Linked DNA regions of Tamandua tetradactyla. The protein of the gene in region 1 purifies or fractionates together with the protein of each later gene. This does not show direct contact. Links are inferred from orthologs where the notes say so. Each region holds a gene or a part of one and is shown in the gene's direction. Other genes may lie near its edges. The genes, in order: EFTUD2, PRPF6, CDC5L and EAPP.

Region 1 (7,588 bases):
GCAGAGGCCGATGCGCCACCGCTCGCCTCGCACCCCACAGCGGTCACAGGGCGTCCACTCCCAGAAGGTGGTGAAGACATGGAGGCTCCCATGCTGCTCATCTTCAAAGGGCTCCTGGCCCTTGTCCTTAAAGGTGGCCACCATTCCCTCACTGCTCTGGATGTCCACATCGTAGGCGTAAAAGTAGTCCCCTTTGCGGGTTCCGCAGAAGTACAGGCCTGAGTCCTCGGGCTGGGCCCGGAAAACCAACAAGCTGAACATGCGGATGCTGAAGCGGACCAGCATGTCGCTGCCCACCCGCACCTGAGCCACCTCGGTCAGCACCCGCCCGTCGAAGTCTGTCAGCACTTTGGTGTGGCTGCTACCTAGGTGCTTTTGGTAGTACCAGACTACAGCCGGCACCTCCTCAGGCTTGCAGTGACAGGGAAGCTCAAAGCTCATGTCAGCCAGGTAGGCTGCATTGTCAAACATCAAAAAAGCCGGGCAGGGGGTCTTCTGAAAAATGTTCTCCTTCTCCACGATTTCAAAGGCCTGAAGACTTCCCCAGACCCACAGGAGCACGGTGGTGTGGGCCAGGCTCATGCCTGCAGGAGAGCAGGTTCAGAGGGGGAGGTGCAAAACCAAGGCACTAAAGGCCCTGTGGCATCTAAAAATCCCTGCTGAGAGCAGGGGCAGATGGGAGCAAAGGATTACTCAGCGAGGAAAAAAAAACTACACTCTGTGGAGGAAGTGGCCAAAGCCAAGGCAATTTATTCCCAGCTGATATACAAAATGGCCTTCAAATGTTCCAGACCTGGTCTCATGAGGAAACCATTCTAGAACCTGGCCTTCACTCGCCTTTCTAGAACTCTGGCACTCATCCAAGAATGGGTCAGGGGAAACCAATGAAAAGCAAGGGCCCAGTGGCTGGGATGAAAAAATTTCTGCCTCACTCTAGGCTCTACCCTGCCCTGCCTACTTGGTGGAAGGGTCTTCCTTTCTGTCAGTCTGAGAGATGAAGGAAATCCTCATGCCACCACACATGGCCATCTGAAGAAGTCTGGGGGGCTGGCCAGACCTGAGCTCATAGCTTGGGACTTTCCCAGGACCAACCTGCAAAGAAGCCCAGTCCCTGGGGAGAAATGCTACACCCTAAATGAGGTAGCTTTTGATCATTTGTGGTTGTAATAGCCACTCATTGGTTTGGGGTTATAAATATTCTTATTAAGAGCGGTGGAGATCACTTATTTACTATGAAGGATTAAGGATTTACTTTCTCTTTTTTTTGAGTGAAGAGCATTATTGATGTAGCCATCTCTCAGAGCCAGGGGAAGCTGGGAGAGGGGATAAAGGCTTAGATAGGTTCTAAAGGTGGGAAGTAAAACTGCTTTCAAACTCTTGGGCCATTGACTACCCTTTGGATCCAGAGTTCCAAACATGGAGCCACTAGGGGTTAGAGAAGTGGGAAAGATCCGATTCCTGCTCTTGCTCAGAAAATTCCAAGTTGAGAAGGGCATTAGGGGTGAGTTTCTCATTGCAGTCCTGCAGAGCCCCCAAGACAACAACAAAATGCCTTGAGTGGTCTCTGGGGGCCTCTGAGAGCAGATGGTCCTATCAGTCCATCTGGTACAGTCCCAGAAGCTCCTGCAGGAGCCTCTCTTCATCTTGGGGCCCTTCAGGTTGCTCCTCCAGACCCTGCTTCTCCTGGCTGAGCCTTTCTTTCATGGGACTTGGGGCACCCATGGCCTGAAGCTTCTGAAACAAGCTTCTGCAGCTCTCCTTCTCTGCATGGCTCAGCAAGCTCAGGTTTAAGGTGAAGCGTCCAGTACTGGCCAGACTGCGCAAGATACCCAGTACTGCCACCCTGTCAATTGGCCTCATGTGATCAGCCAGGGCCACCAACAACTCCCCTAGAAGTCCAAACCCTACATCTGTCTGGAAGAGGTGACCCAGCTTGGGACCCCCAAGCTGTAGCAGGACCTGGTAGCGCTCTGGTCCACTCTGCAAGTATCGTCGCCAATTGCGGTAGAACTCTGCTGAGGTCTCAGGCTGGAGGAGTGTTTTCTCCTGGATTACAAAGGAAAGAAAGAGAGTCCAGAGCTTGTCCAGCTGCTCTGGGGCAGTGAGAGGGAGGGAAATTGCTACTCTGATAGTGCTATCTGAGTACTGGTTGTGGTCCCTATGGGCCTCATTTTCAAATGCGGGAGCTGGGACAGGAAGGGAGAGCCCTCAGTTGTATAAGATTTTCCCACTGATGAATGGGGACATGATCCCAATCTAAGAGAGTAAGTCATGGTTTACTGTGACCAGGGTGTAGGGGATGATTGGAAATCTCAAGAAGAAGAATGAATTCGAGGTGAGTATCAAGGATCTGACAGACTAGGTCTCCCTCTCAACACTGCCAAAAGATCATTATAGTATTTACAACCTGGAGGCAGAGAAACTCCAGCCTTATCTGGGAATGAAAGTCAAAGGACTGACAGAAGGGGACCTGCGGAGCCCAAATTTCTGACTTGACCTGCCGAACCCAACTTGGCCCCACCATCCTCTGGTTGCTTTCCTTTCTGGGATTAGAGGCAGAAATCTGTCTCTGTTGTCCTTACACTAAAAATAAGGAATAGGTATGTGTTGTAAGAAGACAGGATTGCATGTTCAGGGCAGAGAATTTTGCTGGGCTGAAGAGGCTGGGCCCACCCCTACCTGTGAGATTTCAGTAGCCTCATCCTGGGAGGTATGTCCCGGAGTTGTGTGACAGTTCCAGGACACAATCGCTTTTCCTCTCATCTTGTCTTTTCGCTCCAGAGGCTTCAGATGGGAGGCAAGGACAATACCCCTGTGGGCAAAGGACAGAGATGGAGGAATGGATGTAATGCTCTGTGAATGGAAGGTAGCTGGGCTTGGCTCACTACAGGCTGAATCTGTTGACAAACCAACATAACAATAATGATAATAGTAACAGCAACAATAGCCAAAGGTTATTGAATACTTCTTGTGTGTCTACTGTGCAGCAACTCATTTAATCGATACAAGGGCTACTCTCTTTGAAAATTGAGGCCCAGAGAGGTTAAGTAATGTGCACAAGATCACACATCTAGTAAAAGGTGAGGCCAGGAATGAAGCCCAGAACTGTCTGACTCTAGAGTCCCTGTTCTTTTCCACTATTGTTACCATAAGAGAGGCCTGAGAAAAATGACAGTGAGTCAACCTGAATTCCTCATACGTAGTCACCCTCTGTTCCACTGCCCTTAACTTGGCAGCATTCTCCCGCTTGTACTTCTCATCAGCAGCAAGTGCAGCCTGCAGCTCTTTCTCCAAAGCCTTGAAGTTGATGACATCATTCCTTTCCATGGCTTGTACCTGGGAAGGCAAAGAAAATGGATATTAGCAGAGGGTCAATATAAGGGAATGCTGGGGCCTCTGGATTCTTTGCCATCCCACAAAATGATCCAAAAGCACTCTGGGAATCATTAACTTACCTTGTATTTATGTGTGTGTGTGTGTGTTGAGGGGCAGTAATACAAAAATCTAGTTTTCTGCTTTACAAGGAGGGGAACTGAATAGCAGAGTAGGGACTTGCTAAAGACTTGTCACTAAAAATAGAACAAAGTTCCAACTTTCAGTTTGGAGCCCTATTAATTTTGTTCTCTGCCTCTAAAACTATCTGAATGTTGAGTGCTTTGTCTGAGGAGGCATTGGATTTCAGAATTCAGCCCCTCCAGTCTTCCATATGGGTAAATTTTTGGGATGGACCACTTCAACTAAAAAAAGAACTATTAACTACTCTTGAGCCTGGGGTAAGATTTCACCTTTCATGAAATACTTTAAATAGGGAGGGGCATTTTTCACCCAAACTAGATGCCATGACTGAGCAGGAAATCAACACATGGCAGAGAAGTGGCTCAATGATCCCCGCCTCTGGCCAGTCAAGGAGGAGCACAGGTTTCTATGTTCTCAGATGAACTCTTTAATTCTGCCACTCTGATTCTGCAGCCTCCACGTACCTTTGGCGGATCGATTCTTTCTACAGGGAAGTCATCTATATGGATTTCTACCGGGAAGTCATCTATATGGATTCTAGTTTTGGTTTCAACATTTACTTGCTTGAGATCTCTCTGAACCTCCTGGTGAATTTTGTGGCGGAGTTATCAACTGTCCTGAGGCAGACAAGCAGGAGGTCCTCATCCAACCCCACGGCTACTACCCCCATCCCCAGCATGGGTAAGAGAAACGACAGGAAAGGACCAGAGTGAGCTAGAAACTCAACTCAGGCATCTTGACTCCTTCCCAATCTATCTATCTATTGAACAGATAGAACAACTAACCCTTCCACTTTTAACCCCCGACTCAGATCCCGGAACTTTATCCCGCAGTTCAGGCCCTAGACGCCTTGCTTTCTTTGGGGTTACCCTGATAAATTGGGACAAAAGAGCAACTCAGTGCAGATCGCGCCCAGCAGCTGTGGTTGCCTAGCAACTGCTCCACCAGCCTGCCCACGTGATCCGCCCGAAGGCCCCCTTTCGGGGTGGTCCATAGGCGCCTGCTCTAATTCACGCCTACTCAGGACTTACTCTCTGTGGGACAGTCCACGCTTTGTTGTGGGGACCCACGACTCTTCCTCGCAGGTTTTTGTCTCCGCGGCCGGCGCTATTCCGAGCCAGTCCTCAGGCGGAGGGTTGTCCTCCCGGCAGAAACGCGACTAAGGCGTCTATGGGGTCCTTCCCAACGCGGGCTCAGGTGTCGCGCGGCGTGGGACGGAAGCGCGGCGGCCGGCGGCTGGGTTAGGACTCTTGGCTAGCAGGCGGCAGGTGAGTTGATGAGGGTCAGTGGTATGGAAACGTTGCTCCGGGTGGGATGGGAAATTAAAGAACGTCAGATCTGGAGTAGGCATTATGTGCTGTCTGTTCTTTTACTTTACATGTGGGGAAATTGAGGCCTAGAGCAGGAAAGGAACATAGGGACCACTCCAGAAAGGCCTTTTCCCCACCCCGCTCAGATCCCTGAATTCCCTCGATATAGTCCATCCATAAAATTCCGTTCCTGGCAGGGGTCGTGCTCTAACTGCTTAGCCTTCTCACATACTCCCACTTCTGGACCGCCTTCACCTCTTCTTTACCAATCTGCTTTCCTCTTTATTTGATTTTTTTTTTTTGAGAATATGCTTGATAGCGGGAAGCTGCAGTGAAGACCGGCGCCAAAAGTCACTAACTAGCTTTGTGCAACTGAGGAAGTCACCTAGCTTCTCTGTGCCTTGGTGGAGTCATTCATCAGTAAATATTTATTGAGGGTCTCTTTTGTGCCGGCACTGTGATAAAGGAGAAAACAAAGTCTTTGCTTAGAGTGTAGTAGAGTCAGTGAACGATAAACAGACGAATAGATGTGAAAGTCAGCTTGTGATATATATTAAGGAAATAATAAAACAGTTTAAGTGAGGGGCAGAGAGTGGATATGTGGGGGACTTTTTCAGAGTGACAAGGGAAGATTTCTCAGAGAAGGTGACATTTTGATAAAGACCTAAAGGAAGTGAAGGGAAAAGGCATAAATATCCAACAGAAGAGCGTTCCAGACAGACGGAATAACAAATACAGAGGGCATAGCAAATACAGAGGATCTGAGGCTTGTTCTGTAAATAGCCTTGTATAAGAATCTCTTGTCACTTCATGAGATCTTGGGAGGATGACTTGAGCACAGATGTGACAGCTCTTTGGAAGTAAAAAAGAGTACGTGAATACAAATGCTTTCCTAATATTTACATTTAATTAATGGTTCACAGGACTCAATTCTCTATTTCATCTATGGTCAGCATTGAGGAGGTAGTATTGAGGGAGATGGAAGGATTAACCTAATGCAAGAAATATCAGTATCTCAAAGTTGGGCATTCTATATAGTTAACATTTATCCCACCCCTACTTATGCAAGGTGCTGTCTAGGGCATTTATAGGTAGACACAAGGAGTATAGGGTCCCCATATTCAAGAATGTCCAGAAATAATGATAACTGTGCTGAATTCTGTGTGCAAACTGTTTTGTTTAATCCTCACAGCACTACACAGTGGGAATTATTCACTCCATTTTCCAGTTGAGAAAGCAGGTTTGGAGAGGTGAAGTAACTTATCTGAAGTCACTCAGTTTTTAAGTGACAAAGTCAAGATTTGAGTCTAGATCTTCCAATTCCAGAGCCCTGTTAAAAATGCTCTTCTGTGTTGTCTATTACTTGTAAATTTTATGAAAAAAGACTTGAACAGACACTTCTCAGAAGAGGAAATACAAATGGCCAAAAGGCACATGAAGAGATGCTCAACGTCCCTGGCCATTAGAGAAATGCAAATCAAAACCACAATGAGATATCATCTCACACCCACCAGAATGGCCATTATCAACAAAACAGAAAATGACAAGTGCTGGAGAGGATGTGGAGAAAGTTTAGAGTTCTCAGTGAGACTAGTTAGCAGAATTAAATGCTGATAAAGGTGCAAAGTGCTGTAGCAGTGTAGGAAAGTGAAAAATTGACTCACTATAAGGAGGGCATTTGAACTGTCACTTTGAATAGAATTTCAGTAATTGACGTGGAAAAAAGCCACAAAATACTTATTAATAACAAATGGAAAACTAGTCATTTTACGATAGAAAAACCTGACCGGCACCACCTTAGTCAGTTAACATCACCTCTAAAGGGGCCATTTGAAATCATGTGCCACTTGACAAAATGTACGGAGGAGAACATGGTATTACTTCTGTGGTGTTCCTGCCAAAGATTCATAAACTAAATCTAGTTACGAGAAATCATCAACAAACCCAAATTAAGGGACATTTTACAAAATCACTGGCCAGTAATCCTATCAGTGTCATGATCATGAAGGTCAAGGAAAGACTGAGGAACTTGTTCCAGCTTGAAATAATAGTGGCATCGCAACTAAATTCAACATGTGATCCTGGATCAGATCCATTGCTGTGCAGGATGTTATTGGAAATATGTGAAACTTAAATGGAGTCCTATGAATTAAATAGTAGTAATGTGCCAAAACTAATTTTTTTTTGTTTTTTATTTTGGTGGTTGTAGTGTGGTTATACAGGAGAATATCCTTGTTTGTAGGAATCATACACTAAAGCAAGGGGGTTAGCAAACTTTTTTGGTTAATGATCAGAAAGTACTTATTTTAGGCTTTGTGGATCATATAGTCTCAGTTGCAACTATTCAACTCTGTTGTTGTAGTGTAAAGCAGCCTAAGACAATATAAATGACTGCATGTGACTGTGTTAATTTATTTATAGACATAAATTTTGAATTTCCTCTCATTGATTTTCATGTACCACACACTATTCTTTTAATTTTGTCAATCATTTAAATAAGTAAAAAGCTATCAACAGATGAATGGATAAAGTGTGGTATATATATGATAGAATATTGCTCAATTATAAAAAGGAATGAAGTTCTGATATTTGGTACAACATGGATAAACCTTGAATACATTGTGTTGGGTGAAATAAGCCAGACACAAAAGGATAAATACTGTATGATTTCACTTATGTGAACTAACTAGAATATGGAAATTCATAGAGACAAAGCTGATTATAAGTTCTGGAATAGAAGTGGGAAATGGGGAGTTAATGCT
Region 2 (6,861 bases), on another chromosome or scaffold:
CACATGTAGGGATTTCCTGCCTTGCTGCCTTCTGCATGGGCTGCCCCCTTCCCTGCCCGGCCATGGGGAGTCACCAGGCCCAGGTCAGCACTGGGCATGTGGCAGTGCAGGCAGGCGCATACTGGTTCAGCACAGGTGTGGCACACGCATCAGGCCTGGGAACCATGGCATGCCCAGACTCCCTCGTCCCCCACCAGCTGCATCACCCTTGTCAAGCATCTGCTTTACAGTCATTTCTGGGATCTTTGCTGAAATGAGATCAGGCAGGACATTCACCTTGATAGGAGCCAGAAGGTCCATGAGAAACATTGTGAAGGAAGGAAGAAAGGAAGGAGAGAGCAAAAGGGAGGGAAGGAAGAAAGAAGGGAAGGCAGGAAGGGTGGAAGGGGAAAGCTCCGTGTGGCAAAGTCAAGAGAAGTGGTGGGAGAGACAGGAAGTTGGGACCCAAGCTCTGGGTCAGCAGGGTAGGGGTCCGTGCTGAGGCCAAGGGCCAGTGCTCCTTTCTCCCCCTTTAGCCCTAGAAGGAGAGACCCTACCTCCTCTCCAAGACCAATCCCGGGTCCCCACCGCCTGGGGCCGGGCTTGGGCGTGTGCCCAGGAAGTCTCCCCACAAGCAAATCAGCATCCCACCCTTCTCTTTCCACCTCCCCCAGGTTGGGAATTACGCCCTCCACCTGTACCTAAGTGACTCTAAGTTTGAGGTGGTGAGTCAGACTCGGAGGGTGGGGTCGGTGTGGGCCCCACCCCGAGAATTGTCTTCTAGTAACGTGGGCAAAGACTTATTCTAAGGCCGCACCATTCAGGGCAGAGGCGCTGGGCCCGGACCTCCCCGCACTCTTCCAGGAAGCCAGTCGGCCGCCCCCGCGCGCACCTGCCCGGGGTTGGCCGGGCCCCGCCCATTTCCTGCTTGGCACTAGGGGAAGGGGCTTCCGTCCACAGGTCGGTGGGTCCTTCCCAGTCTAACGTCGGAATTCTAGCAGGGAATGAGGAGTAGGCAGCAATTTGGGCTGTGACCTCACACCTTCTCGGCCTCGCTGCCAGGGCCAGATAGGGTTTTCTGCGCGCGAAGAAAAAGGTGACCCCAGTGTGCTGCCAGCCTGGCGACAGGAGCCCGGCCAAGGGCGCACTGGTCCTTAAGGTCTTAAGTCGACTTGCCCTCCTCCGACCCTCCACACAGGACAAAGGCCAAGGGGACCCTGTGCGGCCAGGGCCCGCCCCCCTCAGCACCCCACCGCTCCAAGCCAGCAGGGTCCCGCCTCCCTCGTTCCACAGCCCCTAGCCGGGCGCGGCCCCGCTCACCATCCACATCCCGGCGCTCCCCGAAGCCGGCGCGCACGGCCCCGGCGCCACCCCTTGGGGGGCTCAGCTTGGACCTCAGCTCGGTGAACATGGGGCCCGCGCGCATACGCCCCTAGCCGAGCGCACCGCGGCTGGTGTGGTAGCGGGGAACGCGCGCCGCTGCCCCGCCCCACCGAGCGCCGCGCCCCCCGCGCCTGAGCGGGTCGTCGCGCCTGAGCCGCTGTGGTCAGCAGCGCCGGGTCTCCGCGGCCGGCGAGTCTGCGCGCGAGACACCTGCCCGCAGAGCCCCTGCGCCCCGCGCGCTCTGGGAGCTCGGCGGTGTGGCGGCGCGCACGCGCGCGCGCGCTCGGGTCTGCGTGTGCAAAGACTGTATGCGAGGGCACAGGGCGTCCGTCCGCACCTGGCAGGGCTCCGAAGACGCAAGGAGAACTTGCGTCTGAGGTAGGGATCGTGGGGACTACTGGGTCCCCTGTATTGGGGTGAGGGGGGCGAATCGTACCTACTTCTGGGCCATCCACCCTTAGGAGCCCAAACCAAGAGCCAGAGCAGACCCTCCTAACACCTCCCTCAAGTTACCTACCTCATTATTTTTTTTAATTAATTAAAAAAAAAATTAAATACCAAAAAAGACCAAACACAAACATTCGTAACTTTTGATCATTCCATTCTACATATATAATCAATAATTCACAATATCATCACATAGTTGCATATTCATCATCATGATCATTTCTTAGAACATTTGCATCAATTCAGAAAAAGAAATAAGATAACAGAAAAAAATTCATATATACCATACACCTTGCCTCTCCCTTTCATTGATCACTAGCATTTCAGGCAAAATTTTTTTTAACATTTGTTCCCCCTATTATTTATTTTTATTCCAAGTTTTACTCGTGTGTTGATGAGGTGGATAAAAGGAGCATCAGACACAACGTTTTCACAATCACACAGCCACATTGTGAAAGCTATAGCATTATACAATCATCTTCAAGAAACGTGGTTACCTGAACACAGCTCCACATTTTCAGGCAGTTCCCTCCAGCCTCTCCACTACATCCTTACTAACAAGGTGCTATCTATATAATGTGTAAGAATAACCTCCAGGATAACCTCTGGACTCTGTTTGGAATCTCTCAGCCACTGATACTTTGTCTCATTTCACTCTTCCCCCTTTTGGTGGAGAAGGTTTTCTCAATCCCCTGATGCTGAGTCTCAGCTCATTCCAGGATTTCTGTCCCACATTGCCAGGAAGGTCCACACCCCTGGGAGTCATGTCCCACGTAGACACTACCTCATTAATTTATTCGTTCACTCTTTTATTCACACATTCGCATTCTACAGACCTCTCCTCCAGTGGGCCCGGCATGGTCACCTCGGAGACACCAGTTTTATCTCTCCTTTGTCCCCACCATCCTGTGAATTTCAGAAGGACACTGAGCGTCTGGTGCAGCACCCTGCACATCTCAGGGACTGAGATGAGTGAGGCTCAGTTAAAGATTGCAGGGGAGAGGGAGGCTATATGAGATAGGAGGGATGTGTTTGCTCTGGGTTCCCCAGTGAAAAGTGCTGAGGTGGGCTAGGGCACAGGGAAAAGTGTGTGGTCGCCCTGCCCAGCACCAGCTGGCCTTTGCCTGCTCTGCCAGAGAGCAGATGTGGTCAAGAGTGGGAGGGGCCTCGGTGCTCCCCCAGGTATGTTCGGGAGTGGAGGATGCCTCCCCAGCCAGAATGAGCAAAGATGCACATCCACATGCAATAATGCATGCAGATTTCAGTCATACATGTCCACCGAAATATATGCACACATATGCAACCTGACCTGAGCACATCCCACCAATACACAACATTGACACAGAATTTACCCACATGCTGTGACTGCCCATGCATACATACTGACGTGTATGTGGACATGTCTGCAGGGGCCTTGATGTTCACTCGGCTTGGGGACGTGCAGTGAACAAAACAGGCAGGGCTCGGGCCCTCACCAGAATGTTCAGGGAACGGTTGAGGGCACGGGTGCCGCCCGACCGCAGCGGGAGTCCCTGGATTGACTGCCAGGGACCAGCGGCTCAACTGGGGCCGGGGAATCTGTGTACAAGAGATGCACAACAGACAGGTTTGCCCACAATCAGAACATACACACATGGGCGTGCAGCTCTGCTCAGATGACATTAGGGCCTGCCTGTCTGGAAGACCAGGGCAGCTCTGAGGGGCAGGGGGGTTAGCGGAGGCCGAATAGGATGGGACCCTGGCAGCCGGGCTGGCTTCGATGGGGAGGGGTCCTGTTAGCACAGGAAGGCCTCCTCGCGAAACGCATCTGAGAACACTCAACACTCAGAAAACAGAAATGCCACAGGCGCCATGTTAGGGTCCCGCAGGGTTTGTCCTGGGTGTTGTGGCCCTTTGACCCCTTCGAGCCGGACGGGCGCTGCCCACCTGGCCACCAGCAGACGTGGCCACCAGCATCCCAGCACTACAGCAGTGGTCTGGAGTTGCCGGAAACAGCGTTCGAGGAACTTCCGCCCAACCCCCGCGGGTGGGCGGGGCTTCGCGCGGACCGCGAACTATGCTTCCGGGTCGCGGGTGACGCGGGACGCGTCCTGTGTCCGCGGCGAAGCCTCGGCGTCAGTGCTCCTGGATTTGCGTTTGAGGCCTTGTAGTTTTCCGATCAAGCCGCCGCCGCCATGAACAAGAAGAAGAAACCGTTCTTGGGCATGCCTGCGCCTCTGGGCTATGTGCCGGGGTTGGGCCGCGGGTGAGGCTTGGGCGGGCTGCGGAGCGGACTGAGGGCCGGGCTGGGGCGGCGGGAGGTGTGTGCCTGGGGAGGGGTCCTGGGGCGGGGCCGGGGCGGCGGGAGGTGCGCTTGGGAAGGGAGAGGGAGACGGAATCGGGCTGGGTATCACTCTCCCTTTCTGACCCGGCCTTCTCCCACCTGCATCTCTGCTTTTTTGTCCACTTGGGAAGGACCGTTCTGATTGTATCCACGCTTAACCCCTGGAGACAGCAGGACTTAGGGTAGCTTGCCAAACAAGAACAATAATAAAAGTTAAAGTCTGCAGCCACACAATCTGAAAGACAGGCGGTGGTTTGGCCCGAGCCTCGTGGGAAACGCTGGGCTCGGGGTCAGCAAAGACCTAAGTAGGAATCTCCCTGCTCCTCAGCAGAGATGTAACTTTTCACTTAGAGACCCGTGTTGAGGAATATCGCTGTAAAACCACCCTGGAGTAGAAACTCATGTGTAGTGTCCTCCCCAGGCCAGGCATCACCCACTCTTCCTGCCGGTCTTGACCTAAACGTGACTGAACTTTTCCTGACTATCCAGGCTGCATGAGGCGCCTCAGTTGTAGCAGCTTCTAGTACCCTGTTTTTTCTCTCTAGTAGCGTTCACGTTGCTTGTTTAAACTCTTAGTCCCCCAGGGACAGGGATGGCATCTGCGAGGCTTGAAATCCGGTCCCAATGCTTATCACACAGAACACATACATTGTTGAATAAATGAACAGTCTTTATTTTCTTTGCTTAGTTAGTCATTTGACTAGGAAAACTAACGAGCTTCTCTCGTGGGTGTTCAGGTGAGGTGAGACATTTGCATAAATAACCTGAAGAGGAACTGATTGAGAACTCTGGGGTTCCCAAGACTAGGGAATCCTCTGTGGCAGCATTTGAGCCAGGTTCTGAAGGAGGGTTGACTTTAGAGATGTAGAAAGGTGGCAGAGGTAGAGCAGAAGCTGACATTCTGTGTGGGTTAAAAAAAAAAAAAAAGGGAGAAGCACTGAGGAAGAAAGCACAGCAGGAGGCCAGTGTGAATGGATCATGTGGTGAAGGGAAAGATGCTGGAGGTCAGCAGGGCCTTGGACATCAGTCTGAGCTTAGTTAGGCTTAGGAAAAGTGGTGGCGACTGAGATGGCCTGTTTAGAGCAGTGCTTGCATGGGTTTAAGCAGGAGAAGGCCAGAGGCAGAAAGGCTCATTTGCCTCCCAACCAGATGGGAGTCCTATGGTCGGGAGAGGAGATAGCCCATAGGTAGGATCAGTAGGACTTGGGTACAGATTGGTCGGAGGTGAGGAAGGAGGGAGGCGAAGGTGATGCTCTGGTGCCTGCCTTGGCACTGCCATCACCACTTGAAACAGCCCAGAGCAGAGCAAGACAGACAGAGGACTTGGTTTGGGCCAAGTTGGTGTGAGGGACTCATTGGATGTCAAGGTAGAGATGATCAGTAGGTTGTTGGAAATGCAAGGCTGGAACTTAGGAGAAAGGATGACTTGATTCTCTGGGCATCTTGTGTGGAAGAGAAAGTAGGGAAGACTTGGAGCCTTGGCATCCCCAATAAACCCCCTTGGAAGGTTTATTGCCCAAAGACAATAGCCACCAATGTCTTTTGGAGGTTTCTCACAGATGTTAGAAAAAAAGGTGCTGTAGGTTATCAAGGAGGGTGGTTGGGAGAACACGGGAACAGGGTAACCCGGATCATGTGCAGGTGGGCCTCTTGGATCCCCTGAGCAGCTTTCTCCCGCAGTGCCACTGGCTTCACCACCCGGTCAGACATTGGGCCCGCCCGGGACGCAAATGACCCAGTAGATGACCGCCATGCACCGCCAGGCAAGAGGACCGTTGGTGACCAGATGAAGAAAAACCAGGCTGCAGATGATGATGACGAAGATCTGAACGACACCAACTACGATGAGGTGACTGACCCCATGTGGTGACCCTATGAGGTGACCTCCTGTGTCGTGGACTTTCCTTGGGCTCCCTGCCAGTCCCTAGAAGGGCTGACCAGTTTTCTTACCCAGCATGCTCAAGGAAGGCAGGTACATTTCATATTTCAGCTGTTCATGGGATGCCATTGGCAGAGTGTGAGGAGAGCAGGGAAAAACACTGAAATGTGCTCTTTTGCTGTCTCTTCAGAGGAAATATACTTGCAAATATTAGAACCATTGCCTTGGTGTTTTGTCTTGGCTGGTATTTAGTGATGAAAGCTTAGAGTGTTATTAGTGATAACATTTGTTTTCTTTTACTTTAGTTCTCACCCTCTTAGTGAGTTGGGTAACTGGTCTTTGGTGAGTTGACATTTCCTTCAGGTGTATGCTAACAAATGGCATCTTTCCTAAGTGACAGGAAGATTAAAAAAAAAATTCAGAAAAAATTTCAGAGTTCCCTTCACCAGGCTTCCCTTTATGTTAACGTCTTGCATAACCTTAGTGCAATTATTGAAACCAGAAAATTAAACACTGATACAGTACTATTAACCAATTTATAGGTCATGTAAATTTGCCGGTTTTTCCACTGATGTCCTTTTTCTGGCCCAGGACCTTGTCCAGGACCTGTTATGTTTAGTCATCATGTTGTCTTAGTCTCCTCAGTTGGGACAGCTCCTCAGTCTAACATGACCTTGACAATTTTGAAAAGCACTGATCAGTTATTTTGTAGCTTATCTCTTAATTTTGGTTTGTATGAAGAAAGAGATTATTCAGTGAGCATTTTCCACCTAGAGATGTTTTCTCTTACTGGTGGGGTTTGTATGGGAGGAAATGCTTACCTCATTAGCACAATTTTTGGTTTTCAGTT
Region 3 (7,188 bases), on another chromosome or scaffold:
GACCGACTATACAATCTGGATTGTTCTGATGGTGGCTGCTCCTTAAGACTGCCCCACCAGAGATCCTAAAGTGGACATGGCCTCTTGGTGAGGACCCCAGGCTTGGCGGGTGACACTGGGGTGCCTGGTGGGGGAGACTGGCCAATTCAGGCCATACTAGAGGACAGCCCCTGGTGATTGTGGCTATGGGAAACTGATTTCAGACAGTCTGAGACTGTCAGAAGGTGTGTTTTCTGAATCCTGAAGCAGGACAAGTGGTTTGTACATCCAAAAGTGCCTTAAGGCTCATTTTATTCATTTATTTTTATTTTTTTATTGTGGTAACATATATATAACATGAAATTTCCCATATTCATCACTTTCAAGTAAACAAGTTGTATTTATTGCCCACAATGTTGTGCTATTATCACTACCATCTATTACCAAAAACTTTTCCATCTTCTCAAACAGAAACTTTGAACCCCTTAAATATTAACTTTCCATTTCCCCCTTCTTCCTGCCCTTGATAACCTGTAATCTACTTTCTGCCTCTATGAATTTGCATATTCTAAATATTTCATATAAGTGAAATCATACATCTGTCTTTTTGTGTTTGGCTTAGTTCACTCAACATGGTATCTTCAAGAGTCATCCATATTGTAGCATGTAGCAGTACTTTGCTCCTTTTTATGGCTGAGTAATATTCCACTGCATTCCATATTTTGTTTATTCACTCAACTGCTGATGGACACTTACTTGGGTTCCTCCTACTTTTTGGCTATTGTGAGCAATGCTGCTATGAATATTGGCATACAGATATCTGTCCAAATCCCTGCTTTCAATTCTTTTGGATACACACCTAGAAGTAATTCTATGTTTAACTTCCTGAGGAACTGTAAAATTGTTTTCCATAGCTACTGTACCATTTTATATTCCCACCAACAGTGTACAAGGGTTCATATTTCTCTGCATCCTTGTCAGTACTTATTATTTTCTTTTTTCAAAATAATAGTTCTGGTGGGTGTAAGGTTGTAGCTTTTTTTTTTTTCTTAAACAACAGGAATTTATTGTATTGATGTTTTGGAGGCTAGAAGTCTGAAATCAAGGTATCAGTGGACCATGCTTTCTCAGATGTCTGTAGTTTTCTGGTGGTGGCTTGTGTGTCTCTGTACATGGTGATCTGTCTTCTTTGGTTTCCCATTGAGGCTTCTACTTTCATGCCAAAATTTCCTTTGCTTCTGAAGGATTCCAGTGTTATAGGGTTAAGGCCAACCTGATTTAATTGGCTTCATCTTAATAGAATCTTTGAAGATCCTATTCATAGATGACTTGAAAAGGCCTTGTAGGGGACATAACTCAATTCTAAAGAGGCTGAATACCATGTGATATGTGATCTTTTTTTTTTTTTGATTATCTTTTAGTGGATATGTCCTAGCCTGAGTATCCTGAAAACAGAACTCAAAGATGAACTTTCTATTTGAGGATAATTTTAGATTTACAGAAAAGTTATAATGGAGAGAACTTAATATGCCATTTAAGTTATTTGTAGAGATGAAGATAAAAAGAAATAGAATCTAAGTTTGGGGGGAGAATTTGGGATTCAAAAGTGGGTTGGAAACAGTATATGTTTGGGTCTTGGCAGCAGCCAAAATGGACTATTTTGCGGCCAATAAAGTTGTCAGTTGGGGCTCTAAAGTTGAGACAGATGCTAAATTGGAATGAGGATACTGAATAATCTGTATAAACTAAGGAGATAGGGGAAACACTCTCCAGGGGTCTGTGTGGCGTGTCCATATTTCTTTTGGAAGGACTGATCTTGACTCCTTCCTCAGGTAACTGCTGTTGTTGACCTTCTTGTTTTTGCTGAATATACTTGTATTTTGCTTTCATGAGTTTTGCTTTATGGTTCTTGAACCAAACTAGCAGCATTGTTGGATGTATACCCATTTTAAAGGCCATTTCTTTCTGAAGACCAGGGTTTGGGTATGGGTTCTTATTGAATAAGATTGTCAAATCTTCTAGTTGTTTTTCAGTAAACCGTTCATTTCCTTTGTGGATGTCTCTTGTTTTTCAGTAAACCATTCATTTCCTTTGTGGATGTCTCTGGTGCTTGCCTGGAATGGCGCACCTTCTGATGTGACAGGAACACCCTTACGAAGATCCTCTGAGTCTGTCATTTTTTGCTCTTGGTCTGTTCAGGTATTCAGATCTAGTGACAAGAATAGATCCCATAACTCACTGTGGTTTGATTTGCATTTCCCTATCGGCTAAATGATGTTGAGCATCTTTTCATTTGCTTATTGGCCATTTGCAGATTTTCTTTGGAGAAATGTATAAGTCTCAAGGGACATATGACAGGGCTGCTCCATCTGGATGCACAGGTTGTACAGGGTATACCCTGAGGAGGGTGCAATTCACATCCCATATATGGAATTAAATTTTCTTGTAGTAGAGGGTCCTATTCTCAAAACATCAGTATTCTATGAAGTTTTCCAGTTGGTGGCAGTAAAGTGTCTTGAGGAAGGGGTACATTTTTCTAGTTGGCATAAAGGTGACATATGGGCTAGAGGTGGCCCTGAGTTGAAGGGGAAGACATTATTATGGACTCTTCGGATATTAGATCTGAAAGAGCTGAGAAAGTTCTGGCCCAACTTTGGATTTGTTTGGACTCTTGGTTTCAAATAACAGATACCCAACTCCAACAGGCTAAAGCCAACAGGGAACTAACCAAAAGGACTTAAAAAAAAAAAAAAGTACAGTTGGACCTCAGGAAATATTGGATGGAGGGACTCTGATAAAGTAAGGACCTGCCCCTTTCTTCACTTTCCTTTCTTCCCACTTTGGTGCACCTGCAGACAGACTTTCTTCTCTTCTTGGCACAAACATGGTGGTGGAAAACTGGATGTCACATGTTAGAGGTTTAGCAGCCAGCAGAGAAAAGGACCACTTCTACGTCCCAAAGTCAAAATTTCTGGAGAGGAGACTTGATGGCTCAGCTTTGATCAGATCAGTCAAATGGCCAGTGGGTGTATGTGAGCGAGTGAGTGAGTGCACTGTAAAAACAGCAACTGAATGGACAGTACGGGCAAGATGGGCAGGAGGTACTGGGCATACATCTTACAGGAAAGCCTTGCAAACAGCAGTCCACAGATAGGAAATGGTATGTCTCCAGTCACACAGGCAGTTGGAAGCAAAGACAGGAGTAGACCCAGATCTTATCAAGTCTGTGTGCTATTCATAATCTTATGCTGGCTTCTTTTCAAATAAAATAGTGACTTTCTTGATAGAATTTCCCATTTCAAGGTTAAAAACAGCAACAAAAATCTAATCGGAAAATTCTGTGCAGCTCTTCTAGAAGAGGCAAATGAAGAAGTGAAGAAATAGAAGGAGAAAGACATTAAATATTTTCATAACCTCCTGGGCGAATGGCAATGAAATGTTCAGAAATGGTGAAGACTGAGTAACTGGGAGGTGGGAGAGCAGAGAGTTTGCCGATCCCTACCTCATTGTGTATTAGGTATGGTTTGATTAATCTGCTCCCAAACTTTGAGGTAGGTATGGTTAGCACCACTTTTCATATAAGAATACTGATATTCAGCAAGGTTATTTACCCCAGTGAATGAGGGAGAGAGTAAGGATTTCAACCCAACCTGAGTCTGTATAATATTAGTGCCTATCATTGCTAACAATCCACACTGGCTGAAGAGTGATAAATGAAAAACTGACATGATATTTCTGTGGATTTCTGGGGCAACCACTGATCACTTGGGGGTGGTGGGGCTGCAATTGCTTTCCTTTTAATAATAGCTGTCATTTTTCGGTCACATATTATGTATCAGAACTGTGCTAGGCGTATGTACTTTGTTTCATTTATTCCTTGGCACAAGGTCGGTTTCATTATTCTCTCTATTTCACAGGTTAGGAAACTGAGGCTTAAATAAACTGTTGCCTTTCCCTTAATATTCTGTTAATGAATTCCTACTAACGAATTGCCGAATAAAGTGCCAAAGTAACAATTTAGCAAGGCTCGCTACCTACCGACTGGGCTGAAACTCTACCCGGATACGCCCCGCCGCGCCCCTGGGTGACGTTCTGGCCAATCCCATCGCTACGTTCCCGGACACTCTCCGCCTCCGGCTTCTCGCAAGATCTAATTTGTCAGGGACAGTAGTGAGTGCGGAGCGCTTTGCCCAGAGTCGTTTGATGGGTTTCTGTCAGTCTTCCTTGACTAAAGCGTGTTTTTCTTTTCTGCCACCCGAGATCTCGCGAGATTTGCTATTCCGCTTAGTTCCTCTTGCGCCTGCGCAGATCTCTTCAAAGCAGACGGTCGCGCTTGCAGGAAGTGGCGGCACTGGGTCCCGTGGCCGCAGCACCGTTAGTACTTCTTTGAAGCTTATCTCGGCCGTTTGCCGAGACTCTTCGCCGCGAAGATGCCTCGAATTATGATCAAGGGGGGAGTGTGGAGAAATACCGAGGTGAGTCTCCTTTTCCCGCCGTCCGCTGCCCTCCGCCCGATCCGGCCGCTTGTGCGCACGCGCGCAGAGGTCAGGGCGGCGAGGAGGATTCCTTGCGGGGTGTGTTTGGGGGGCAGCGTGTCGGCTGACCCTCTGGGCAGTCACCGTGTGTCCCTCCCAGTGTTATCTACGTGCCGCAAGGATGGGGACTGTGATTTAATCAGCGGGCTACCCAGCCTCGAGCTCACTGCCAGGCACTTGTTAGGCCTTCAGTGAACATTTGTGAATTGAGGACGCGCCCCTCGCGTCCTGGAGGAACTCGCAGTTTGGAGGAGGGATGGGACATCAGCTAGAGTTGGTTTTCTGGGGTATCCTCCTCCCTCAGTCTGCTCACCCACGCCTCGCTTTGATATTCAGAAGGAGGCAAAATTAAAGAAGTGTTGTGGCCAAGAACTTTGTGCCTTCATTGACTTCCTTGCAGAGGTGTAGCAGCATGAATGCCAGATTGGAAGAGTCCGTTATGCCCACATCCCTCTTGGTTGTCTTTTATCACGTATAACCCATCTGTCCTCCCCACAGAGCTCAAGGGTGTCACTTCCTTATCTTCCTGACACTCCCGGTGGTCTCATGGCATTTCTTGCACACGTTTGTTATAGCTTGCTTTGTCCTGTTGTAAACATCGCATCCTTCTGTGTGATGCTGAGTGAGTTCTTAACCTCTCAGAGCCTCTGTATTCTCATTGGTCTAAATGGGGATGACATTACTTTTTTTGATGACTAAATGAGTTAATACATCTGGAACGCTTAACAGAGTGGCACACAGTAGCCTTTCAATAAGTGCCACTTCTTTCTTTTGAAACCTTGCAGGAGGACAGGACCAGGTTTGGTATCCCTAGGACCTAGGGCAGTAAGCATTATGAAGTAGGTTATTTGGCAGATGTTTGCTGAATGAATCTAATAGAGTAGATAACTGCTATATGTATTTAGTTGTCCTTGTGTTTAAGTACAGCAAAGTAACAAATAAAGGCAGTGAAAAGCCTGCCTCACAGTTTGTACTGAGGGAACCAGATTGTTTAAATTGGAGAAGAGATGACTTCTGGGGGAGAAACAGATGTACAAAATCAGACAGCATGATCCCTATGCAGTGGTCAAACCCTGCAGTCTTTTTCATTTACCTCATGATTTTGGAGGTGGGGGGAGGGAGTGGATGGTCAAGCACAGTGTCTAATGTGGGGGAAAAAAAGCGTGAAAGTAAAATGCCCCAAGTGCATTCATCCATAGTGCCATCATCCTTGGTGTCTGTGGCTTAGTCTGTCAAACTGCCCTGGGTTTGGTGAATCCGTATGGGAATAGGTACCCTGGTGAAACAGTGTCTGGTGACTGGTGATCTGAGTGGTGGGGTGGGGGGAGAAATGCTTAATTTTTAGGTTATACCTGAGATGTGGATTCTTGGGTCTATATGGGGGTTAAGGGGCTAGAAAGGAAGTGCCATGGGTGAGCTGAATGCAGAAAGCCTGAATGTGGGGAAGGTATTCACCAGAGTTTCCTTGCTCTTGAGCACCGGCATGTGTCCCCTTTAATGTTCTTTCTCCAAGTATACAAGACCTGACATGAGGTAGGTGTTTATGAAATGTTTTTTTTTAAGTGAATGAGTGGATGAGCTATACCCATTGAAGAGAATGATAGTCACACATCAGAGCACATTTTTTGTTAATCTTTACCAAGTAGGGTTTCTCATGTGGGTTTGTTTCCACTCTCAATTTATGGGCAGGAGGAAAGGTAGGATATCCTTCTGAGGGATTGTCATCTTAATTTCTTGCTTGCTGATTCTGAGGTTTTTAAACTTTTTTTAAAATTTACCATTTGTGTGTGTCTTTCTCTTTTTCTCTAGTTCTTCAGATACTCAAAGTTAATGTCAATTTTGTCTTTTCTCCCTTGGAGTTTGGTCATTGAATATACTCTTTCTTTGACAATTTTTTTAGGATGAAATTTTAAAAGCAGCGGTTATGAAATATGGGAAAAACCAGTGGTCTAGGATTGCATCGCTACTACATAGAAAATCAGCAAAGCAGTGCAAAGCTAGATGGTATGTACCAATTAATGAGTGGAAAGTTATATACCAACTGTGTGCCAGTTAATGAGTGAAAAGTTAATCACGATGAGGAAAAATGTTATTCTTTGAACTTTACTAAAGGTGGTATAACAGAAAGTATGATGTAGGAGTTGAGAATTTGAATTTTAGACTCACTGTCACATGCTTCCTTTGTGATCTTAGGTAAGTCGTTTTTCTAACCCTCTGACCTTACCCCATTTTCTTACAATTGGTAATAATAGTTGGCCCTAACTCACGGAGCTATAAGGCTCAAATGAGTTAATATGCTTGAGAGGGTTTTGAAAAGTCTAAGATAAATCTACTTTTAAGTTCAAATGGGCCTCAGCTTATAAAATGGATTGCGTTCCAAAAGTTCATTAATTGGTTGTTTAGAAAATATTTTCCCAAAGAAATAAATTATGACAGTTAATTTTCTAGGCTAGCTTAGATAGAGTAGGTGAGTTTCCTTATAATACAGTTGAAATATTAAATATTTGCCACCCCCAAACCATAAGATCAGCCAGTATTACACCTGTGGTTTTTTGCCCCTTTTAAATCACAGGGTAGTAGACACATTAAGCTATTTACGTGTGTTTTTGGCATAAGTGGTCTGGTGCCACAGTTGACCGATGTGGTGCTAGGATGATATTTTGGATTGTTCCTA
Region 4 (7,845 bases), on another chromosome or scaffold:
AACACAGTCAGGGCTTCTCCCTCAGCTGGAAGGGCACATGGCGAACACGGCATCATCTAGCTTTCTCTCCTGGCTTCTAATTTCATGAAGCTCCCCGGGAGGAGTTTTCCTTCTTTATCTCCAAAGGTCGCTGGCTCGTGGACTCTCTACTTCGTGGTGCTGCAGCATTCTTTGCTCTCTCCGAATCTCCTTCATTCTCCAAAATGTTTCGTCTTTTATACGACTCCAGAAACTTATCAAGACCCACCGAAATGAGTGGAGACATGTCGTCACCTAATCCAGTTTAACAACCACTCTTGACTAAATCACATCATCCAGGGAGATGATCTGATTACAGTTTCAAACATACAGTATTGAATAGGGATTATTCTGGCTTTTTGAAATGGGATTTAGATTAAAATGTGGCTTTTTTAGGGGACATACATCCTTTCAAACCTGCACAAGAACCATCTGGAGAAAACTCAAATGGTGCCTGCTCCAGGTTCCCAGCCTTACAGGTCAGCAAAGAAAGGAGAATAAGATAGCAGTGGGGCTCTTTCTAGTGAACTGAGACTGAAAGTAACAATAATGGACATCCCAGCTTGGAGAGAGTAACTGCACTCCAAGGGCCAGCTACCCAATGAACCTCAGTGCAATCACGAAAAGAAACACCAGACAAATGAAAATAAAAAATGGAACAAAATGACTGACGGAGGCTACTAGCCCTCCTGACAAAATAAACCAGTGGTAGCCACTGGAGAGTTTTGCCGGGAGAAGAGCCCTTTCCAAGAAGGATTTTTCTAGAAGACAAAACCAGTTGATCTGCAGGTCTTTCTTAGAAGGCAGAACAATGGGAGGCACCTACAGAACTGCAGACAGGCAACACCTGGGGATAAACCAGTTTGGGTCCCAGAGAGTTTATCAGAGTAGATAAGCAGACCATGGTAATCAATGCACATCTGTTCCCCACTTTCTAAGACCCCCTCCCCATCAAGTAAAAGGGAAACTTAATATCAGCTAGTTGGAACATCTCTCCTCTTGCTTCCACTCTGGCCTTTTCTGAGTTTCCACTTCCTGCTCCCTGGGGGGTGCTCCCTTCACTCTCTGAATGGGCCCACCCCCTCCACCATTCGTACATCACCCAAGAAAGCCAGGAGAGCTAAATTGCATGAAAAGGTTTTCTTTTATCATCACATATTCACACAAACAGTGATCAAAGGAGTGGAGTTTTAATGCTTTGTTTATGATACCATGTATACATTTTTCCACCCTTCCTCCCGAGGAGAGTCGATGCCTTAATTTCTGTCTTGGTTATTATGTAGGCAGCTATGTTCAGTGATTTATTCTCAATACAGAGGAGGGGCTCTGGCCCTGGGTATCTACAGTGTGGTTTTCTGTGTAGCAATAGACCAGCAGAGCAAGAAGACAAGAGAGTAAGCAAACAAATAAGTAATATGAGGTAAAAGGGGGAAAAAAGCAGATTAAGGGATTGGAAGATGTGCTACAGAGTAGAAGTTAGGGGTAAGGACTGTTTTAGACAAGGGAGTTGCAGGAAACCTCTCTGCTTTTCTCTCTGTCCCATCTTCCTGCTTCTCTTTGCTTGCTCATTATCACATATAACCCCCAAAGAGCCACCTCAAAATGGCAGCTTCAGCCCCTGAGTTTACTTGCCCTGTTACAAGTCCTAGGAACACCAGTCAATTCTCTAGAATCACTAACTCTTTTTTTTTTTAACATTTTTTATTGTGAAATATGACCTATATAGAAAAAACAATAAAATTCAAGGTATAGGGTAGTGCGACGGTGCCTTAGCGGCAGAACTCTCACCTGCCATGCCCGAGACCTGGGTTCAATTCCCGGTGCCTGTCCACGTGAAAAAAAAAAAAAAAGAAAATTCAAGGTACATTGTACCAAATTTTTACAGAACAGATTTCAGAATTTGGTACGGGTTACAGTTCCACAATTTTAGGTTTTTCTTTCTAGCTGCTCCAAGACACTAGAGACTAAAAGAAACATCAATATGATGACACAGCAGTCATATAGAATCACTAACTCTTAATTTTAATTAGATGGGAGCAAGAATGTAACTGGTCCCGTTTTTATGGATTCATTCATTATAGAACGTAAGGATGTGCCCCTAAATAGGGCCAGGAGTCCCAGAAAAAAAAAAAGGCATCCCACTAAGTAGCTCCATCACATCACTGTGACTCAAGGGAGAATATTGTACCTCCCAAAAGAGTTCGGTGGAACAACAGTTGAAAACCAGAGAAATACATGGCATGAGAGTAGTATAATATGTTATAAAGGCTCAAAGCTGGAAAAGATCCCATGTAGAAGGAGAATCTGAAAAGGCATCATAGAAGAGGTACAGTGTGGAAGGTATCCTTATGGTCATTCCATCCAACTATTGACCCATCTGGTGCTTGTAGGTGGATCTTGGATGACAGGTAGGGTTTGAACAGTTGAAAATACAAGTAGGAGGGGTGGTATTTCAAGGGAATAGCATTAGCAAAGACTTAGTGGTGAAAAGGCATAAAATATTCTGGAATCAGAAAATCATACTGGGTATGTATAGGGGTGTAGTGGGTAGTTTGGCAGGATGAATTGAACTATATAGTGGAAGGCTGAGGATACTGCAGGCTAAGGTGAACAGATTCAGCGGGTAAAGGTGAAACATTAAGACTTTTTAGGAGGGAAATCAGCCAGAGCAGAGCTGTGTTGTGGATTACTCTGCCAGTGGACAATAGCATGGATTGTAGAGGGGAAAAGAACAAAGCAAAGCTGTCAATTAGACTATATTAACAGTCAAGGTAAGTGTTCTAGTTTGCTAGCTGCTGGAATGCAATTACCAGAAACGGAACGGCTTTTAAAAGGGGAATTTAATGAGTTGCTAGTTTATAGTTCTAAGGCCGAGAAAATGTCCCAGTTAAAACAAGTCTAAAGAAATGTCCAATCAAAGGCATCTAGGGAAAGATACCTTGGTTCAAGAAGGCCGATGAAGTTCAGGGTTTCTCTCTCAAGTGAGAAGGCACATGGCGAACACAGTCAGGGTTTCTCTCTCAGCTGGAAGGGCACATGGTGAACACGGCATCATCTGCTAGCTTTCTCTCCTGGCTTCCTAATTCATGAAGCTCCCCGGGAGGTGTCTCCCTTCTTCATCTCCAACGGTCACTGGTTGGTGGACTCTCTGTTTCGTGGTGCTGCAGCATTCTCTGCTCTCTCTGAGTCTCTCTGAATCTCTCATTCTCCAAAATATTTCCTCTTTTATAGGACTCCAATAAACCAATCAAGACCCACCCAAATGGGTGGAGACATGTCGTCCCTTAATCCAGTTTAACAACCACTCTTGACTAAATCCCATCATTCAGGGAGATGATCTGATTACAGTTTCAAACATACAGTATTGAATAGGGATTATTCTACCTTTAGGAAATGGGATTTATATTAAAACTTGTCTTTTCTTAGGGGGCATACATCCTTTCAAACCAGCACAGTAAGGGGTGGGGAAATGGGGTGTGGATGAGACAGGCTGAAAAGAAATTTGCAAGACTTGGGAATTGAGGACCTATAAAGGGGCAGAGAAAGGAGTCAAGCACGATTTCAAGACTTTCAGCTTATAGTAGTTGTGAGGATGCAGGAAGTGACATGAGCAGAAATCATGTGTCACAAGTAACTTTTGGCTGAGAAATTGGAATGGAGTGGAAAATGTTGAATCAGGTTTGAATGGGACTTTGAGTTACCAGTGGTGCAGCAGGTAATTGAAAATCCAAGATATTATCAGAAGAGAGCACAGGGACCAAAGATATGTGTCATCTGGATGGGATCATGAGCAAGAGAAATGTCTGGGTAGAAGGCAGGAAACTGAGTACAGGCTGGTACAGACATAGAGAAGGAAGTGATCTCATGATCAAGAGTTTGTCATCTGCCTCATCTTCTCAAGTACAGAATGGGATCCGATGAGTGCTAAGAAAAGGTTGGGACTGAGAAAAGGCCATGGAGGTGACTGGTGACAGCCTAGCAACTTTTTGGTAGACAGCTGGGGCTGAAGTCAGACAGAGAGGAGTGAGTAGTGTAAAAGTGAGGCAGCAAGCTGCTCAGTGAAAGAATGCAGAAGGGTGTGGTAGTTAGATTCAGCTGTCAACTTGGCCAGGTGAAGGCACCTAGTTCTGTTGCTGTGGACATGAGCCAATGGTAGGTGAACCTGCTGATTATATCTGCAGTCGGCTAGGAGGCATGCCTGCTGCAATGAATGATGTTTGACTTAATTAATTGGTGCTTAAATGAGAGAGCACAATGCAGCACAGCCCAAGCAGCTTGGCATACCTCATCTCAGCACTCGTAGCTCAGCCCAGGCCTTTGGAGATGCAGAAAGGAATCAATCCCGGGTAAATTGTTGGCCTGGAGGCCTGGAGAGAAGGCCAGCAAGATCAAATGTGCCCCCCACATAAGGAAGAACCTCAGTTGAAAGTTAGCTGCCTTTCTTCTGAAGAACTAATGAAATAAATCCCCTTTTATTCAAAGCCAATCTGCCTCTGGTGTGTTGCATTCTGGCAGTTAGCAAACTAGAAGAAAGAGCTTGAGGCCAGGAGTGTAGAGAGAGATCGGGTATCAGCATCTAGGGACGACTGGCTTCAGGGTTCATATCCCTCAGCATCTAGATTTCTGCTTCAAGACACCTCACGCAGGTGAAATGTGACACTACATATCGAGTGTTTACCTCAGAGACTGCCACTTAGGAGGGTACCAATGACTATCTTGGGAGGATTAAGGGAATTGTTAGTTCCCTGTAAGCACAACCCACGGAGGATAACCGTGCTACACTGGGACAGATTCCCCTCGCAGGGCCTGTCTGCGCATGTGCGCAGGAAGGACGCGGTCGTGCGGCGGAAGTGGAGTCGGCGACGCTTTAGGGAAGGGAACGGCGGAGTAAACATCCTCTGCCCACCGCCTGTGGACTGTGTCGGCGGGTGGAGGCCACCATGAACAAGCTCTTGGATGATTATGACCCCTATGCGGTTGAAGAGCCCAGCGACGAAGAGCCGGCTCTAAGCAGGTGGGCCCCCGTCCCGCCCCAGTCCCCGAGGCTCCGACCACGGCCGGGCCTTCTCCTCCTCCTCCTCTTGCTGCGCCTGCTGGGCCTGTGCGGACTCTGGGTCCTGGAGTTCGGTCGCCCGACGTGCCCAGCGGTTTCCTGTCGGAGACTGAGGGAGCTTCCTGGTGGGGATCGCGCAGCCCCGGGAGGCGGGGCCGATATCGCCGCGGGGCAGGTCGATATTACGGAAATCACGGTGGGGGTGGGGTGGGGGTGGGGGTGGGGGGTGGGGTGGGGCTACGTGTAAATCTTCAAAAGCGGTGAGACCGAATCGTGTCTCTGCAGCTTGCTAGCGGAGTGACCTAAGGCAAGTTACTTATTCTCGGTTTTTCACCTGTATAATGGACATACAGTAACTGTGTTGTAAGTTTGTTGTGAGGTTCACGGGGCATGAAATGCCCATCTTGAAGACCAAACTTCCATTAAGAAATACGAGGGAATAAGGAATATTGCACAGACTTTGAGTACCTGTTATTTACTACTTGACTCCAGAGGTCAGCCACAAGAGCCTTAACTTCTGCAGGCTTAGGGTATGGTAGAAAAAATAAGACAAAATATGTATCTCGAAAGAGCTTTTCAGAACATTTACATCACTCCAGAAAAAGAATAAAAAGAAAAAAAACCCATACATCCCATACCCCTTACCCCTCCCTCTCATTGACCACTAGTATTTCCATCTGATTTTTTTTTTTACCCCCAGTCTCCCCTGTTATCTATGTGTCCCTTATTTTTTTACTCATCTGCCCATACCCTGGATAAAAGGAGCATCACACACAAGGCCCATGAATAGTTTTTTGTGTGAACATAAGTTTCATTTCACTAGAATAAATGCCCGTTGGTGCAGTTGCTGGGTTGTATGGTAGTTGCATGTTAGTTTTTAAAGAACTACCAAACTGTTTTCCACAGTGCCTACCATTTTACATTCCCATCAACATGTAAGTTGTTAGTTCCTGGTACTGCTTAAAATTGTCTCTTGCATCCAACACTTTGGAAACACTGCAGTATAGGGCATGTGAGAATTTCTGAACTTTAACTCCATTTACATTTGGTCTGGATAATTCTTGATTGTGGGAGGCTGTCCTTTGCATTGAGAAATATTTAGCTGCAATCTCTGCCAGTTGCTCCAGTTGGGGTAGAGAAAGAATAATAGTGAAAGGTGAAGTTGAAAAGATAAGTTGGAGCCAGATTGTGGAAGGCTGTTTTCAATGCTATTCTCAGAGATTTGGCCAATTGAAGGTCTAAGTTGGATAATGACATGATCAGAATTCTTTAGGAAGGACATTTTTGGCAGCAAGGTTAAGAGTGGAATGAAACAACTATATTTTAGGTACCCTCCCTTAAACTATGTTTAAAATTTTTTCTAGTCTGCTAGTCTAACAGGAGTATAAACAATTCAAGAACAGGGAAAAAGAATATATTTTGAAATATGCAGAAATGGTTGCTGTATGAAGTGAGAAAAGCTGCATGTGGTATGATAGATGTATCAAATGCAATCTTGTAAATTTTTTTTTGCATGGGCAGGCACCAGAAATTGAACCCTGGTCTTCAGTATGGCAGGCGAGAACTCTGCCACTGAGCAAACATGGCCTGCCCTAGTAATTATTTTTTTAAACTTTTTTTTTTTGTATAGTGTAACATATATACAAAGCAAAGAAATAAAAAAAGCAGTAGTTTTCAAAGCACTCTTCAATAAGTGGTTACAGGATAGATCCCAGAGTTTGTCATGGGCTTCCATATGATCCTTTCATATTTTTCCTTTTAGCTGCTCCAGAATATAGGAGGTTAGAGGGCTTAATACTTTTTTTTATCATCACAGTCGACTTTTTTCCTTCTTTTTTTGTGAAAAATAATATATGTACAAAACTATAAATTTCCAAGCACAGCACCACAATTAGTTGTAGAACATATTTCAGACTTTGACGTGGGTTACGCTTTCACAATTTTAGGTTTTTACTTCTAGCTGTTCTAAAATAACTGCAGACTAAAAGAGATATCAATTTAGTGATTCAGCATTCATATTCATTTGTTAAGTCCTATCTTCTATATATAATTCCACCATCACCTTTGAAATTTCCATACCTCTCCTTAGGGTATTTGGGCTATGGCAATTCTAAATTTTTGATTTTGGAAGCGTCTGTCACTAATACGGGATAGGGAGATGGAACTATCTGATGTTCTGGAGAGGCTGTGCTAGGTTTCAGGACTTATCTGCAGCAGGGTCCCATCTGAAGGTTGTAGATTTCTGAGAAGTTACACTAGTGTCTGGAACCCTTGTGGAATCTTATATATTGCCCTAGGTGTTCTTTAGGATTGGCTGGAATGGTCCTAGTTAGGGGTTGGCATGTTATGGTAGGTAGCAAGGTCTAACTGAAGCTTGTGTAAGAGCAACCTCCAGAGTAGCCTCTTGACTCTATTTGAACTCTATGCCACTGATACTTTATTTTATTTTATTTTGTTTTCAGTAGGAAACCTCTAACTTCATTTTTCTTTCTCAGGATATTTTTGGCTATTTGGGGCACACTGCCCTTCCAGATAAATTTTTTTTTATTAATTAAAAAAATATATTACCAGAAAGAAACACAAACATTCTTAACATATGCTCATTCAGTTCTGCATATATAATCAGTAATTCACAATATCATCACATAGTTACATATTCATCATCATGATCATTTCTTAGAACATTTGCATCAATTCAGAAAAAGAAGTAAAAAAACAACAGAAAAATAAAATGAAAACAGAAAAAAAAATTATACATACCATACCCCTTGCCC

What was found.
Region 2: the proteins of EFTUD2 (region 1) and PRPF6 purify together in Homo sapiens (affinity purification with mass spectrometry; 6 studies listed by BioGRID and IntAct, with this or other methods). This does not show direct contact. The link is inferred for Tamandua tetradactyla from reciprocal best matches to the Homo sapiens genes EFTUD2 and PRPF6.
Region 3: the proteins of EFTUD2 (region 1) and CDC5L purify together in Homo sapiens (affinity purification with mass spectrometry; 6 studies listed by BioGRID and IntAct, with this or other methods). This does not show direct contact. The link is inferred for Tamandua tetradactyla from reciprocal best matches to the Homo sapiens genes EFTUD2 and CDC5L.
Region 4: the proteins of EFTUD2 (region 1) and EAPP purify together in Homo sapiens (affinity purification with mass spectrometry; 4 studies listed by BioGRID and IntAct, counting the BioPlex papers as one, with this or other methods). This does not show direct contact. The link is inferred for Tamandua tetradactyla from reciprocal best matches to the Homo sapiens genes EFTUD2 and EAPP.

Annotation. Positions count from the first base shown.
Region 1 is NC_135332.1:22,527,135-22,534,722, forward strand, and holds the start of EFTUD2 (116 kDa U5 small nuclear ribonucleoprotein component), read left to right. Parts: upstream 1-4,573; 5' UTR 4,574-4,784; intron 4,785-7,588. Other genes in the region: Ig-like V-type domain-containing protein FAM187A, read right to left, coding at 1-582; DNAAF19 (dynein axonemal assembly factor 19), read right to left, coding at 1,594-2,046, 2,680-2,812, 3,185-3,327. UniProt on the Homo sapiens protein: Required for pre-mRNA splicing as component of the spliceosome, including pre-catalytic, catalytic and post-catalytic spliceosomal complexes. Component of the U5 snRNP and the U4/U6-U5 tri-snRNP complex, a building block of the spliceosome.
Region 2 is NC_135327.1:61,424,822-61,431,682, forward strand, and holds the start of PRPF6 (pre-mRNA-processing factor 6), read left to right. Parts: upstream 1-3,850; 5' UTR 3,851-3,983; coding exon 3,984-4,054; intron 4,055-5,812; coding exon 5,813-5,981; intron 5,982-6,859; coding exon 6,860-6,861. Other genes in the region: SAMD10 (sterile alpha motif domain-containing protein 10), read right to left, coding at 1,300-1,405. UniProt on the Homo sapiens protein: Involved in pre-mRNA splicing as component of the U4/U6-U5 tri-snRNP complex, one of the building blocks of the spliceosome.
Region 3 is NC_135331.1:102,015,625-102,022,812, forward strand, and holds the start of CDC5L (cell division cycle 5-like protein), read left to right. Parts: upstream 1-4,178; 5' UTR 4,179-4,409; coding exon 4,410-4,454; intron 4,455-6,414; coding exon 6,415-6,518; intron 6,519-7,188.
Region 4 is NC_135340.1:19,477,179-19,485,023, forward strand, and holds the start of EAPP (E2F-associated phosphoprotein), read left to right. Parts: upstream 1-4,842; 5' UTR 4,843-4,958; coding exon 4,959-5,032; intron 5,033-7,845. UniProt on the Homo sapiens protein: May play an important role in the fine-tuning of both major E2F1 activities, the regulation of the cell-cycle and the induction of apoptosis. Promotes S-phase entry, and inhibits p14(ARP) expression.